Schizosaccharomyces pombe: one gene and its partners. The gene in region 1 interacts genetically with each later gene. Each region holds a gene or a part of one and is shown in the gene's direction. Other genes may lie near its edges.

Region 1 (4,744 bases):
CAGCTAAGTCTCTTAGTGCATAATGCTCGTGATTATTAGGATCACTGCCAAGGCGCTTCGCGACCAAACAAGTAAGGATGGATGGCATGAGTTGTTGGACGTAAGGCTCTACAAAAAGGTTGGGGTTATCAAGAAGGGCCCAGGCCATGTGCATTAAAGTAGTAAGAACCACAAGATTTCCTAAGTTTCGAGTTACAGAATCCGATAAAAACATTATGAAGTATGGTAAAAGTTGGTGTAATCCGGGGTCGTCACGTAAACTCGATAGGGCAGCATCACGGAGCTCAACATTAGTTTCATCAAGCAATGCACTGGTAATACGCTCAAAATAAAGCTGTAACTCTTTGGATAGCACATGTCGCACCAACGGTTTTATCTCAACGTTGTCCATCGAAGTGACACCGTTTCGAGCTTCTTTAGCAGCAGTTGAAGCACCTGGCATAACCCCTGAAGTACCCTTGGATGCCCATTCTCCAACTGTGTGATCTGAGGGAGTTGGATTTTGAGGAATGGCTGGCTGCACACCTTCGATGGCCAGCCAGTGTGCACTGTAAGAAATGTTTCTAGGGACTTTAGGGAGAGGAGCGTTTATGATTTTTTCAAAATCCACTTCCTCATCATCAAGGTAGTAAAGGGAATTTTGGCCTGCACCTACAGCGGCTTCATGAAATTCTAATGGACGAGAATTATTGAAGCCGTATAACGGCTCAACATTCAACGTCCGTAACGCTGAAGAGATATCTGCGCTAGTTAAAACAGTTCTTTTAGAATGAACCATAAACTTAGTGGCTTCCTAAATCAAATACTGTTAGAGAATTATGTTTAATGTCAGAATAAAGCAGACTATCTAGCAAATTGAAAGGCATCGTAAAAAACTAGCAACAATTTTTTAGTTATTTTAGCCTCTTCCAAAGAAAGTAAAATCTCATAGTCTACTTTCACGAAACCTACCTGAACCACCTGATGAATTCTATATTCGAGATCCATTGCAATAGCTGCTGCTGGTTCATCGGCAAGATTGCCAATCCCAAGCATTTCAGCAACATCTTTGATGGATTCAATATTCCATACTGTCAAGGACATGACTTGGTAGTAAGATGAACGATTTATGGATCAATGAGTGAATTGCATCTGCAGAGAAGTAGTTAACGATGTTAGAAGCAACTGCTTTATTTAACATACTTGTCAGCAATACTACACTACGCTATAATACACTACGTTGCGTATCACTATATGTCACATGTTCTAATTATATATCGTACCATGTATGATACGATATGGAGATTGATCTTAATGATAATCTATTAAGATCTATATTATCTGAATACTATAAATAGAGCTACTGCTGAACCTCGTTCCTCAGTTCAGTTATGAGCTATATTAGTGATAGGTAACATTATAACCCAGTTAATACAATACCTATACTCAGTTGCTACTTATACAACCTGTGTATTGTAATATAATAGATCACAAGGAAAACTCACCGCAGTTCTACGTATCCTTAAATCAGATACCAAACTGCGTAGCTTACAAGACAGTGAGCTACACTAAAATCGCTATTAAACATTACGTTACGCATCAAAATACACTACATGGAATACCAATTAATCTCAATTTGTTGAACAATAGCAGAAGACTATATGTTTGTTTACTAAAACATCCATTGATATTGATATAAAATAGTAGTTAAAATTAGAAGTCTAGATTGAACAGAGCATCATTCTCAGTCCAGTTATTAGCTGTTACAATGATAAATATATTATCACCCACCACTCACAATACTGTATAACGCAATATACTGCTTCTACAAGCTAAATATAATTTAATGTAGCCTTAAAAGGAATTAGAAACTTGAATTGTTGACACTTATCTAGTTGCACCGCAAGTCACCCCGCATTGCTAAACGTATTTAACCATCGTTATTTTTCGCTAGTCGTCGTTGGGCTGCGCATCACCATTTCAGGCACGATTTCAGTGATCAGATCCAAAAACCCAACCGGCCACCATCATGCTTGGGCATAATATATATGAAGAAGACGATGCATTTAATCCATTCGCAGATTCCGTTTCTCCACTGAACCCTCCAAAAACCGACCAAGAGCCCTCAGCTGAAGGAGTGGAAGAAGAGTCGCCGAATGTTCAAGCTTCTCCACCAAAAACTCATATCTATACATCTCCTAGGAAACGAAGCGTCAATTTGAAATCTCTTCCGTTTGAAACGTTAACTTTGGATTCTGCACCTTTAGGTCCCTTGCAATTTTCTGATGCACCTTCTATGGCACCCGAAAACAACCGTTTGGAAGTTGGTTTAAATACAAAAATTAATCCGTTAAAAGGATCTAGTCCCGCTTTGAATGCAGATTTTTCTGCAAATAAGCCTTGGATCTCAGAAGTGAACTCCTTTTCCCCTTCTCCTATCGGAGCAACGGAAAATCCCACTATACCAAATTCAGAACAGACGGTAGATACTTTAGACGCTGCCTCATCTTCTGCTCCAAATTTTACACACACTGTCTCATCTGCCTCCTCCCAGAAGCAAGGTTCAACCTCATTAACAGATACGGAGAATCAGAAGGCGCACCCGGCAGCGGCACCTCAATCTCTTACCCCGTTTTACATCCAAGTTCATGACCCTCATACCGTTAAGGAAATCACTAAATCGCATACCGTATATTCGGTTTCCACTCGTTTAGAGGAACACAATCAACCTTCTGTTAGCAATGTGACTGTACAAAGACGATATAATGATTTTGCTTTTCTTTATCAATTGCTTTCTAATAATCATCCGGGTTGTATCATTCCTCCCATCCCGGAAAAGCAGGTTGTAGGCCGTTTTGATGATGAATTTATTGAACAGCGACGAGCAGCCTTGGAGGTAATGCTTCGCAAAATATCTGCCCATCCGGTTCTACGTGATGATTACTCATTTAAGTTGTTTCTTGAAGCAGAGACATTTGACCCTAGAATGACACATCGTACTACTCTCATTGAGAGTTCATCAAGTCCTTTGCGCTCAGGTCCCTCAACATCTGGTTTACTTGACTCATTCACCTCCGCCTTCCATACCTCTGGATCTTCTAAATTTTCCGAACAGGATCCAATTTTAATTGAAGCAAAGGATACACTTGATTCGTTGGAAACTCAACTAAAGTCGGTTTATCACGCGCTTCTTTTATCCATAGATCAACGCATACAGTTCGCTTCAGCCATCCATGATTTTGGCGAGGCTGTTGGAAATTTATCTTTAGTTGATTTAGAGCCCACCTTATCATCCAAGTTTGATGGTCTTTCCCAACTCCAGGTAGAGCTTCGATTTGTACAAGAACGTAAGGTTGCTCAAGACAATTTGACACTGGGCACTACATTGGAGGAGTACATTCGGTACGTGGAGAGTGCCAAAAATGCCTTTACTACACGTCAAAAGTTGTGGCAGACATGGCAATCTTCAGTTCAAGCTGTTTCTCGTGCTAAAACTCAACTTGAGAAATGTAAAAAGCAAGCGAAATCTCAGCAAAAATCACTCCCTTACTTGGAAGAACAATACGAAAAATATCGAGCAAAAGCTGCTGATCTGGAAAAAGAGTTTTCGGAATCAACAACTCTGTTAAAACGAGATTTGAGTTCTCTCACAACCAGTAGAGTTGATGATCTCAAAGCTAGTGTTGAAACGTGGTTGGAATCTGCAATTGAATCTCAAAAAGAAATTATTGAGCGTTGGGAATCATTTTTGGATCAATAACGACTCTAATTTTCCCTATGCACTCTTTTAATTTTTATGTTTTTCTTTCGTGTAATATTTCTATCCCATATTCGTATTAATGTATTTCCAACTACCGCTTTATTACTTTGCACTTCTCTAGCTGACGATTTCTATTCTATTCTAATTATTTTTTTGCAATTTCCCTTTTCGTCCATGGTACTTCATTACTTGAAAAGAAAATGTACCTTAAAATATTGCATTCTATCTACTAACCTTACAGCAACCCTACACTCCTTTGTAAATAAATAACTTGTGTATGTTTTTAAAAATTGTCTTTGTTACTCAAGCCTTTTTATATTTGTTTATGTTTAAACGCTTTTTCCTGCTTAAATTGTGTTACTTATATGTAAAAGCGTATGCAAAAATTTGTTTAATAATATGGTGTATGACTACTTTATGTTACATATTTATTTGTCTTAATTTAGACTCGTGATTCAAAGCTCTCAAAACGATAGCTCAAAAAAATGTTCATGTAGGAAACGTTTATCATTTTGTATCCTAAGGTTTATTCATATTTTTTAAAAAAAAAAGTGGATTTCGCTTTCATTAATAATCTCGTTATATCAATAGCTAATCACATAATCAAGTGCGAAATGGAAAAGCATTTAATCAATTCAATGCCGGATATCTGACTGTTGAATCGCAATGTCTTCAGCCTTTTTGAGGAAAGGTAAAAGCTTTCCATATTCTTCATAAGTTTGGGCGGATGGTTTATTCATGATTAGTTCAATTTTCTTGGACTCATCCCAAGATTTGTTTACATATTCTTCAAAGGTAAATCCTTTTCCATTCATTGCATATGCAGCCTTGATAGCGCCCTAAATTGATGGTCAGTAACTATTAATTAACAACATTTTCCGTTCACTTACGCCAACAGCACAGGCATTACTACCGCCGTGTTTTAGCCGATAAACATCACATCCCAAAACCTGGCTAATTTTAAACACAATAGCCTCGTTACGACTAGCTCCTCCTACAACATAA
Region 2 (5,355 bases), on another chromosome or scaffold:
ACGAAATCATAGCTTCCTCAACAGCCTTGGCATCACGTTTGAAACGTGGACCAAATTTTTTGCGATTAACTTCAACCTCGAATTGTTCAACAACAACAGGTTCAGGAAGAGCCTCTTGAACTACTAAAGGAGTCTTGGTAGCTTTACTGTGAACGCTAAGATCATAGGCACTACGATCAGCGCAACCTACACACTCGATCCAGCCGTAAGAGCATTGAATTTCGGCATCCCAGCAATCGCAAGCATAATGAGCCATTTCATTGCTCATATGTTGCCTAAAACGAACACGGTTCATATCAATACCAATTTTCTCCAAGAATAAGCTGATACGGGCCATAAAATAACCTAATGTAGTGTTATCAACAATTCCTTTCTTGACAGCATCACCTATGGGCATTTCCAAAATGTCAGTCTTTCCTTCTAATTGGACACCACGGGGCAACAAACGAAGGGGCATATGAGAAACCTCGTCAAATCTATCATGCTCTTTGTTTTTAGGATCGACAAAGTGTTCGACTTCGGCCATCAAAAACTCACGAACACGAAGCAGGCCACTCCGAGGAGAAATCTCATTACGGAAGGCTTTACCAACCATAGCACTGGCAAAGGGAACTTTGCCGTTATTAAACTCCAATAAACGGCTAAAGTTTAAAAATTGTCCTTGGGCAGTTTCAGGTCGGAGGTAACCTTTCAGACCACCACTGGGACCAATTTGAGTTTCAAACATTAAGTTGAACTGACGAGGGGTTTCAAGCTCACCGTTGGTTGCAGGGTTACGAATGTCATACTTCTTCATGAGCTCACCTAATTGATCTCCATCATAGTTGTCAATTTGGGCAAGAATAAACTCGTATTCCTCAACAGTCTTGTCATCCAGACGAGTCGCACGAATTTCCTTTACCTTCTTCTTACGCTTCTTCTTGTCATCAGATTCTTCAGGCTGGTCATTGGAATTCTGCCCACGAGCTTCCTTGTCACCCTTCAAACGGGCTTCCAAAACCTCTTCAACCAAGTGGTCGGCACGAAAGATTTCACCGGTAGCAGGGTCCTTACACATCCAATCTGCAAACTTATCAACATGCCCACTAGTCTTCAAAACTTCATGAGGAGTAAGCATGGAGCAATCAACCTCCAGCATGCTTTCTTCGATAACAAAGTGCTTTCGCCAAATATCAACCAGATTAGATTGAAGTGCACTACCTGGTGGGCCATAATCATACAATCCACTAATTCCACCATAGATTTGAAAAGAAGGAGAGAAGAAGAATCTCTTCTTCATTAACTCCTCGAACTGAGTTCGATCAAAAGCTGCTGCCTTTGAAACTTCTGTCATTTTTCTACTGAAAATCCGTTTAGCAAAGGCTGTGCAAGAAGAACGAAACGCTTGAAAAGAAATTATGCAAGCAAGGAGCGAAAAGCTTTAAAATGCCTGCTTTTCGCCTGGTTTTCAAATGTTTACGGAAGATAAACTGTTCAAAGCTAGAAATTTTGCTAGTTCGTAAAATTCATAGATAGTGCATTTTGTTAGGCTACATCAATTCATATTATGCGTTGTTATGCGAACTTTTGGACTTTCCTTAATTTAAATACGGTACCTGTAAAAAGTACTTGAACACTCTAAATCTTGTTAACATTTTTTACGGAACAACAACGATTTATGTTAAAGATCGTCAACAATCTCACTTCACTGCCCAAAGCGTACAACATGGTCGAAGTATAGGCTGAAACTTTGAACCGCTTAGAAACTACCTTCTACGGGAAAGAAGACGCGATTTTACGTTGTATTATAAGAGAGGAATCCTCAAGTATTGTTGAAAGGAATCGTCAAAGATTGGGTAAAAATGTCGTTTGTCATTTGTCATAATTCCCTTTTAGAAATTTAGTGGTTTCCTCATCAGTATCGCTTTTACCCGTAGATTTCAAAACTAATTGCTTCTTATCTTGTCCATAGTTAAGGATTTCCGTTAACTTCAAACCAATTTCTCTGTTTCTTGTTCTGTTGTTGGTGGGTTTGGCTGGAAGTATTGACTAAAATAAATGGTCCTAAATTACATTCAAAGATGGTTCAAGTGGGTGATACCAACTTTTGGATTCTTGGCAATTCATTATATTTACATTATATCCTTAACTATCATTGCCTCTATCCTACTTTTTACCGGAGGGACCACCACGAAAATCAAGTATATCGATGCTTTATTCTTAGCTAGCAGCGCAACTACCCAAACAGGCCTTAACAGTGTTGACTTAAATTCTTTATCTATCTGGCAGCAGTTTATCCTGTATGGATTTACTGCTATTACGGTTCCTATATGGATGCACGGAAGTATTTCCTTCATCCGGCTGTATTGGTTTCGACGAAAATTTAAAGACGTTGTTCGTCAAAATCGTACTCGAAAATTTCAGAGAAAGCTCCGTAAAAGCTTAATGAAAAAAAGCGAGGATGACGAAGAACAGGGTGTTCGTGGTAGAAAAATTCGTGTAATGTTACCATACCTACATTCACTAAGGAGTCCAACGTCTCTAAAAAACTTCTCGAGATTTGACACGCATGACAGTACGAACAATCCGTACTTTCCTGACAACCCCCCTTCTCCCAAGGCAGATATATCTAAAGACGAGTATTTTGGAAAGTATCTCCCAAAAAAGTCTGATACGCTAGACATGGATTTGGAAAGTCACAACATGACTTTTCATGACTATGAACCTTCCATTGAAAATAAAAATTACGATTTTGGTAGTTCGCATTCAGCCTCGATGCAAATGTATGAAATGGATGACCTTCATCCCCGACTTCGTAGACAAAGCTCTTTTATTTCCTCCGTTAATCCTTTAGAGGCTGACGACACCCGTGAAACTTTATCTGAAGGCGCCTTAGTTCAGGAATCTCTCCCTATGGCTTATAGTTATTCTGATACTAATTTGGTTGTATCGAGGGATTCATTTACTCTCACTGGGGACGACAATCTTTTCCCAGAAGGTGGTTTAAGGCCTGCCAATACAATAGACGGAATAGTAAGGTCGTCTCTGTCTTCTTCCTCCCTATCTAAAGACACTGAACCATCGACAGTTGACATGCATATTGCTTTCACCGGACTTAATAAGCCCACCATAGAGCGTGAACGTAATCTTAAACTTAGAAAAAAAAGTCGTTTTTATAAAAAATCTTTACGTTCCAGATTTTCGCGAGGACTTCATCGTCCAATACGTTGGACAAAGTCATTCACTTCTAACCGACGAAACTTGACTCTTGAACGAGTCCTTTCTTCTGCCTTTGCTAAAAAACGTGAGCCTTCTATTTCATCAAGACACACTACTATGTCACTTCCCTATTTGTCGTATAATCCTACTGTCGATCGTAATTCTGCTTTCGTTGCTTTGTCTAAAGAACAGCGGGACGAGCTGGGTGGAATTGAATATAGAGCTTTGAAATGCGTCTGCTCCATGGTTACCCTTTATTTTATCATTTTTAATATTGCTGCCTTTGTGACCTTCATTGTTTTTGCTTATACGGCAGTGGGATCGCGAGAGGTAATAGATTCTTATGACTTACGTCGTGGGTGGTGGGCGTTATTCTCGTCTGCTTCTTCATTTAATGATTTGGGGTTTTCTTTAATACCATCGTCTTTTGTGCCAATGAATCGAAACATTTTTCTTTTGTTGATTTCATCTTTATTCATTATCGCAGGTAACACGGGATTCCCTTGTTTTTTTAGAACATTCATTTGGACAACGTATAAGCTATACCCTTTTAGTTTTGAGAAGAAAGAAGCTATGGCATTTCTCCTTGATCATCCTCGACGATGTTTCACTTTATTGTTTCCATCTGGAGCAACCTGGGTCTTGTTTTTTGTTTTGCTGCTGCTTAATGTCATTGATCTGGTATTGTTCATGGTCTTAGATACTGGAAGTAAAGCAGTCGCTAGCCTTCCTAAAGGTATTAGGGTTGTAAATGCAATATTTCAATCAGTTTGTACAAGAACCGCAGGATTCACGAGTGTATCAATTAGTGAACTTCACCCAGCAGTACTGGTCAGTTACATGGTTATGATGTATATTTCTGTTTATCCAGTTGCTATCAACATGAGAAATACCAATGTTTATGAGGAGCGATCTTTGGGTGTTTACAGAACTGAAGATGATGAGGGGAAATCTTTCTTAAAAGATCACCTTACTGAACAATTAAGTTACGATTTATGGTATATTTTTCTAGGGCTATTCATCATATGCATTTGTGAAGGAGGTAAAATCTCCAATCCTCTAGATACCGATTTCAGTATTTTTACTGTCCTTTTTGAAGTAGTCTCTGCTTACGGTACGGTGGGACTTAGTACTGGATTAAGCTCCTCAAATTGTTCACTTTCAGCAAGATTTACTACTATAAGTAAACTAGTTATTATAGCACTTGAACTGCGCGGTAGACATAGAGGTTTACCCAGGGCTGTTGATCGAGCCATCCTTCTTCCTTCTGAAAAAAATAATCTGAAAGAAGAAGAAGATTATCAACGTCGTCACGGATTTTCCATAGACAACGCACGTGGCAGTATTGCAGTTTCTCGAGACTGATATTTCTTATCACGATCATGTATTATATTTGTAAATTATATCATCTAATAAATAGTACGCTCGCTAAATTTCATACTCCTGATCGATACACCGTTTGTCCGCCATTTCTGAGTTGAATTGTTTCCTTCGACGAAAGAATTTGTAAAGCCATTTCTAACGCGTGTTGTGAATATCCATGCTAAAATTATGTTAGACTTAGATTTAATCAATAAACATACCCCATTTACGTATTCTCGTATAAGCATACGGTAACTCGCCTGAAACCCTATAGGTAACCTTTTTCTTAAGCTGGCTTCAATTTTTTTTACTTCCTCAGTAACTTCAGGCGAACTTTGTGTAGCAGCAGCAAGTGTACTGGTCAAAAACAGTCGAATCGCTTCAGTAGCGTGAGCTTCAGAAGCAATAGGTGATAATGACATTTTTGCAAGGGATTCAGTAATTCGTATGATTGCCTCTAATTGACGAACAGTGATTGGAATGGTAGAACGCGAGTTACTGTCCTGCTCTGACTGATGAACACGTTTTCGAATTGCGACAAATTGACTAGATAGCTTTTCAGCTGCCTCTGCATCAAGATTAGGTGCACATTTGCTAAATCCATTAGTAACTAATATTAAATTTGGTATACTTACTGTCTACAATAGTTTATGTACCGCCGAAACTTATCAAAAGGAATTTCTCCAATTGCTAAAGTCTCACTAGATTCTTGTAAATTGGTATGAAGATTAATAACGTGACGGGCAATATTTCGATCCTTTGTTTCATCATGTTCATCCTTAACAATAAATATCA
Region 3 (4,303 bases), on another chromosome or scaffold:
TTCAATATAATTGTGGAAACTACGGTGGTGCATCAGATTTACTTTATCATTTTCGTGCCTTCAGTAAAGACCCTGAATTAAACGCCTCCGCGACCTGGGGTAAATTTGCTTCTGAAATTTTGACTGTTGATTGGGATGGGGCTATGGAGGAATTGGGAAAACTTCGCGAAATGGTGGACTCCAAAAGCTTTAAAGATTCTGCTGTTCAATTGAGAAATCGAACTTGGCTCCTCCACTGGTCCTTGTTTCCTTTGTTTAATCATGCAAATGGTTGTGATACTCTTTGTGATTTGTTCTTCTATACTCCTTATCTCAACACCATCCAAACCTCTTGTCCCTGGCTATTAAGATATTTGACTGTCGCTGTTGTTACTAACCAAAATAATGCAAATCAAAAACCTCGTAACCCTAGGCAATCTTATCAAAGAAGGATGCGAGATCTCGTACGCATCATTAGCCAAGAAAACTATGAATACAGCGATCCTGTGACCTCTTTTATTTCTGCTTTGTATACTGAGGTCGACTTTGAAAAAGCTCAGCATTGCCTCAGAGAATGTGAAGAGGTTTTGAAAACCGACTTTTTTCTCGTATCTTTGTGCGATCACTTTTTGGAAGGTGCTCGCAAATTACTTGCTGAGGCATATTGCCGTATTCACAGTGTCATAAGTGTTGATGTGCTTGCTAACAAGCTGGAAATGGACAGTGCTCAATTAATACAACTTGTTGAAAACCGTAATAATCCTTCAGTTGCCGCAGCTTCTAATGTAGCTGCCGATCAAAGTACTGAAGATGAAAGTATTGAATCTACCTCTACAAATGTTGTTGCTGATGATTTAATCACGGAAGCCGAAACTGCTACTGAAGCCGAAGAGCCCGAACCCGAGGTACAATTTGGGTTTAAAGCTAAGTTGGACGGTGAATCAATAATAATTGAACACCCTACTTATTCAGCTTTCCAACAGATTATAGACCGTACAAAGTCATTAAGTTTTGAAAGTCAAAACTTGGAGCAATCTCTTGCTAAAAGCATTTCGGAGTTAAAGCATGCTACTGTTTAGACAAGATTAGCAAATAGTTTAAAGGTGGAATATATTTCATACATTAAAAATAAAACATAGGAGTTTAATTAATTCGCTAATTTTGTATTTTCAAACAACTCGTTATTGTAGAAGATGACTGTGTACTTTCCTATTTAAAGAAACGTGCTCATTGAATATCGCTATTAGTATATTAATTTTGGAAATTTGAAACATGCGGGGATATTAAAAAAATATATATTATCTAAAATTTTTTTATTTTCTGAAGTGCATAAAAAATAAATAATTAATGCAAAAGTATTAATGCCGCTATCTCAACATGTAGAAAATGTGTCGGTGGAATTAACTTATGTATATATTAAATTGCTGTAATAATACTAATCCAATTGCATTAAATTAAATTTCCCTAATTGATAGATAAATAAACGATGCTGCAACGGTATTACCGTAATTTAATCGAAAGACTCGCTACAACTAATATGTAAGTTTGGTGTTTAAATTTCATATCAAACCAGTACACCACGAAAGCTTGAGACAGCATCCGTTTCCGTGCCACCAACATTTATCAACGCAAAGATATCTCTTGAAAAGAATAGATTTTTGGTCAGTAGTAGGACCAGGACCTAAAGATGCCAAATCCTAATCAAGCAATAAAAAAAGAAAATGAACCTATTCAAGTTGAAAACCCTACGGAACTAGTCAGGGATGATGGAGAAGTAGAGGGTTATCAGAAAGAAGAAGGAAAATTCAAGCTAGTTCTTTCCATATTGAAACAATGCATTGGTGTGAAGGATATTGCTAGTCTTCGCTTTAGTTTACCTGCACAATTGTTAGAGCCTGTTGGAAACTTGGAGTACTGGAACTATGTTGATCGACCTGACTACTTTGCAGTCATGGGCGATTCTGATGACGAACTTGAAAGAATGTTGGGCGTATTGCGTTGGTGGTTTACAAAGGACCTTCGTTTTGTTCGTGGTCGTGTGGTAAAGCCTTACAACTCTGTGCTTGGTGAATTTTTCCGGTGCAAATGGGTCGTAACAGATCCTACAGTAAGAGAAGATCATACATTAGATCCAGATTCTTCTCAACTACCTACATACAAGACGGAATATTCCGAAACCACCAAATTCCCACTTGGTAAATCATATAGGCCAAAGGCCTCCCGTACAACGTCCAGCCAAAGCGTTGCATCTACCATGACAAAGTCTTCCACGAAGACTTCTAAGAAGAAATCTTCCAAAAAAAATTCTAAATCTGAATCGAATCAAGATTCAAGCAATGATCGTTCTTCAACAGCACCTAGCACCGCTGAATCAAATAATGAGCACCTTTCTTCCTCTCAGAAATCAAAACATTCTATAGTCTTTATGGCGGAACAAACCTCACATCATCCTGCTGTAAGTGCTTTTTATGTTACTTGCCCTTCTAAGGGCATTGAAGTATACGGTCAGGATCAAATTGCTGTTGGATTTACTGGAACTTCTTTTAAGGTTTGCGCTGGCGACCTAAACAAAGGTGTATACGTTCGCTTTAACAAAAGGGATAATGAAGAATACTTATGTACGCATCCCTCTGCCTCCGTTGGCGGTATCCTTCGTGGTAATTTACATATCAACTTGTTGGACAGTACTGTAATTTTGTGTCCTAAAACCCGTATTAAGACAATTATTACATATATTGAAGAAAGATGGCTTGGAAAACCGAGAAGCTTGGTAGAAGGCGTTTGTTATCGATATGACCCATCCAATGACACGATTGATTCAATCAAAGCAGTTCCCAAAGAAAACATCTTAGCTACTTTCAAAGGAAATTGGCGGAACTGCATATTTTACTCTTATGCAGGAGAATCTGAATCCAGAATGCTAGTTGATTTGAATGAGTTGGATTTAGTTCACAAGCGTTGTCCCCCTTTGGATAAACAATTTCCGTTTGAATCCCGGAAAATTTGGTTTCCAGTCACGCACAATATTTTGGCCAAGCATTATACTCAAGCTACGAAAGCAAAACAAGAGATTGAAGACCAACAACGCCAGGCGTCTGCCGCCAGAGAGGAAAGCCATACCGAATGGAAGCCCAGATTTTTTGTTCCAGATGAAAAGGAAGGTCGACCGACCCTTACTGAAGAAGGTAAGAAGGTCCTTGAGCAGTCCTTGTCAGATGAGTACATTCACGGAAGTTAATGTCTTTCATAAAACGTTAATTTTTAACCCTTTTCACAAACTCTTTAATTGGCGTGCATTTAGAACTTTTTCCCTACCTTACTCAATGACTCACTTTTATTTTCACAGTGTTGTTTTTGTCAGTATCTTTTTATCTTCCTCTATTTATCACTTCGCAATTCACTTCTTGTTTATCCTATCTCTTTGATATAAATGCTATTATAACTCATGAGTTTTCAATTCTGTAACGTTGGTAATGCTGATTTGTGTTTTCATAAAATGATGGCATGAGTCTTTGCAATTAATTTGCTTAGCTTGGAACGTTTGCTTAGAAATTCAAGATTACATTTACATTTTCTCTTATTTTTTAAGTTTGCTTTCTTTTTGCTACTTCAGAATTTCTTGTTCTGAACTTTCTTATCTATTAAATTGAGTTATTTTTATTCATGGTCCACAACAAAGTTGTTGCTAGCGATTTAAGCTAACTAAGCATACTGCATTATTCGTCTTGTTTTATAGGTAATAATAGCATTTCCTCGTATTGTGAAATCTTCGTGAGTTACTAGGTTAAGCTTTAAATGTAAAAACACTTTCCAACAAGCTAAGCGCATAGTTCGAAGATTGTTCAACGTACAATGTTAATTTCTTATATTTTTGTACATATGTATTCAAACAACTTATGATTTGTTGAAAGGTAGGCGAGTTTTAGTTTCTTGGTTGAAAGAGTATATCTGAATCTATATTTGCAGAAGAAAAGAAGAAAACATTTGTGATTCGATCATATTTCCTTAATAAAATCCTGTCACCATAGGTCGCATCTTCTCAAAATACGATATCATCTAATCGAGGCTGTCTCTGCCATTACTTGTTTCATACTTGGTGTCAGGATATTAAACTCCCACGAGCTTCTTAAGCCCAACAACAACAGCACACAGCTTGTTAAAGGTAGGTTTTCAAAATGAGTATAACTTTATCTTCAAGGGGCAGAAAAATCCGAAAATTACCTAAGAGTTTGGAATTCCCTCTGGATGGGTCAATCGATAAACTCCGGGACGAAGTGTCCTCAGTAACACGGCTACCAGTTGAGCGTTTACGCTTCAGCACAGC

What was found.
Region 2: mutations in vps5 (region 1) and trk1 together harm fitness more than expected from each alone (negative genetic interaction), as found in Schizosaccharomyces pombe (one large-scale study listed by BioGRID).
Region 3: mutations in vps5 (region 1) and oss1 together harm fitness more than expected from each alone (negative genetic interaction), as found in Schizosaccharomyces pombe (one large-scale study listed by BioGRID).

The regions. Positions count from the first base shown.
Region 1 is NC_003421.2:700,599-705,342, forward strand, and holds vps5 (retromer complex subunit Vps5), read left to right. Parts: upstream 1-1,998; 5' UTR 1,999-2,008; coding exon 2,009-3,739; 3' UTR 3,740-4,220; downstream 4,221-4,744. Other genes in the region: TATA-binding protein-associated factor TAF6, read right to left, coding at 1-793, 952-1,083; xks1 (xylulose kinase), read right to left, coding at 4,375-4,578, 4,630-4,744. UniProt on the Schizosaccharomyces pombe protein: Required for efficient sporulation target of PtdIns(3)P in vesicle transport required for onset of the forespore membrane formation. Plays a role in vesicular protein sorting.
Region 2 is NC_003424.3:2,817,464-2,822,818, reverse strand, and holds trk1 (plasma membrane potassium ion transmembrane transporter Trk1), read left to right. Parts: upstream 1-1,747; 5' UTR 1,748-2,037; coding exon 2,038-4,563; 3' UTR 4,564-4,633; coding exon of another isoform or gene 4,634-4,741; 3' UTR 4,742-4,781; downstream 4,782-5,355. Other genes in the region: glycine--tRNA (Gly) ligase Grs1, read right to left, coding at 1-1,333; MCM complex subunit Mcm5, read right to left, coding at 4,634-4,741, 4,782-5,154, 5,196-5,355. UniProt on the Schizosaccharomyces pombe protein: Together with TRK2, defines the major, high-affinity potassium influx transport system. Involved in maintenance of the proper sodium/potassium ratio in the cell and in regulating the plasma membrane potential.
Region 3 is NC_003423.3:935,455-939,757, reverse strand, and holds oss1 (oxysterol binding protein), read left to right. Parts: upstream 1-1,576; 5' UTR 1,577-1,666; coding exon 1,667-3,217; 3' UTR 3,218-3,745; downstream 3,746-4,303. Other genes in the region: int6 (translation initiation factor), read left to right, coding at 1-1,058; tsc13 (enoyl reductase), read left to right, coding at 4,155-4,303.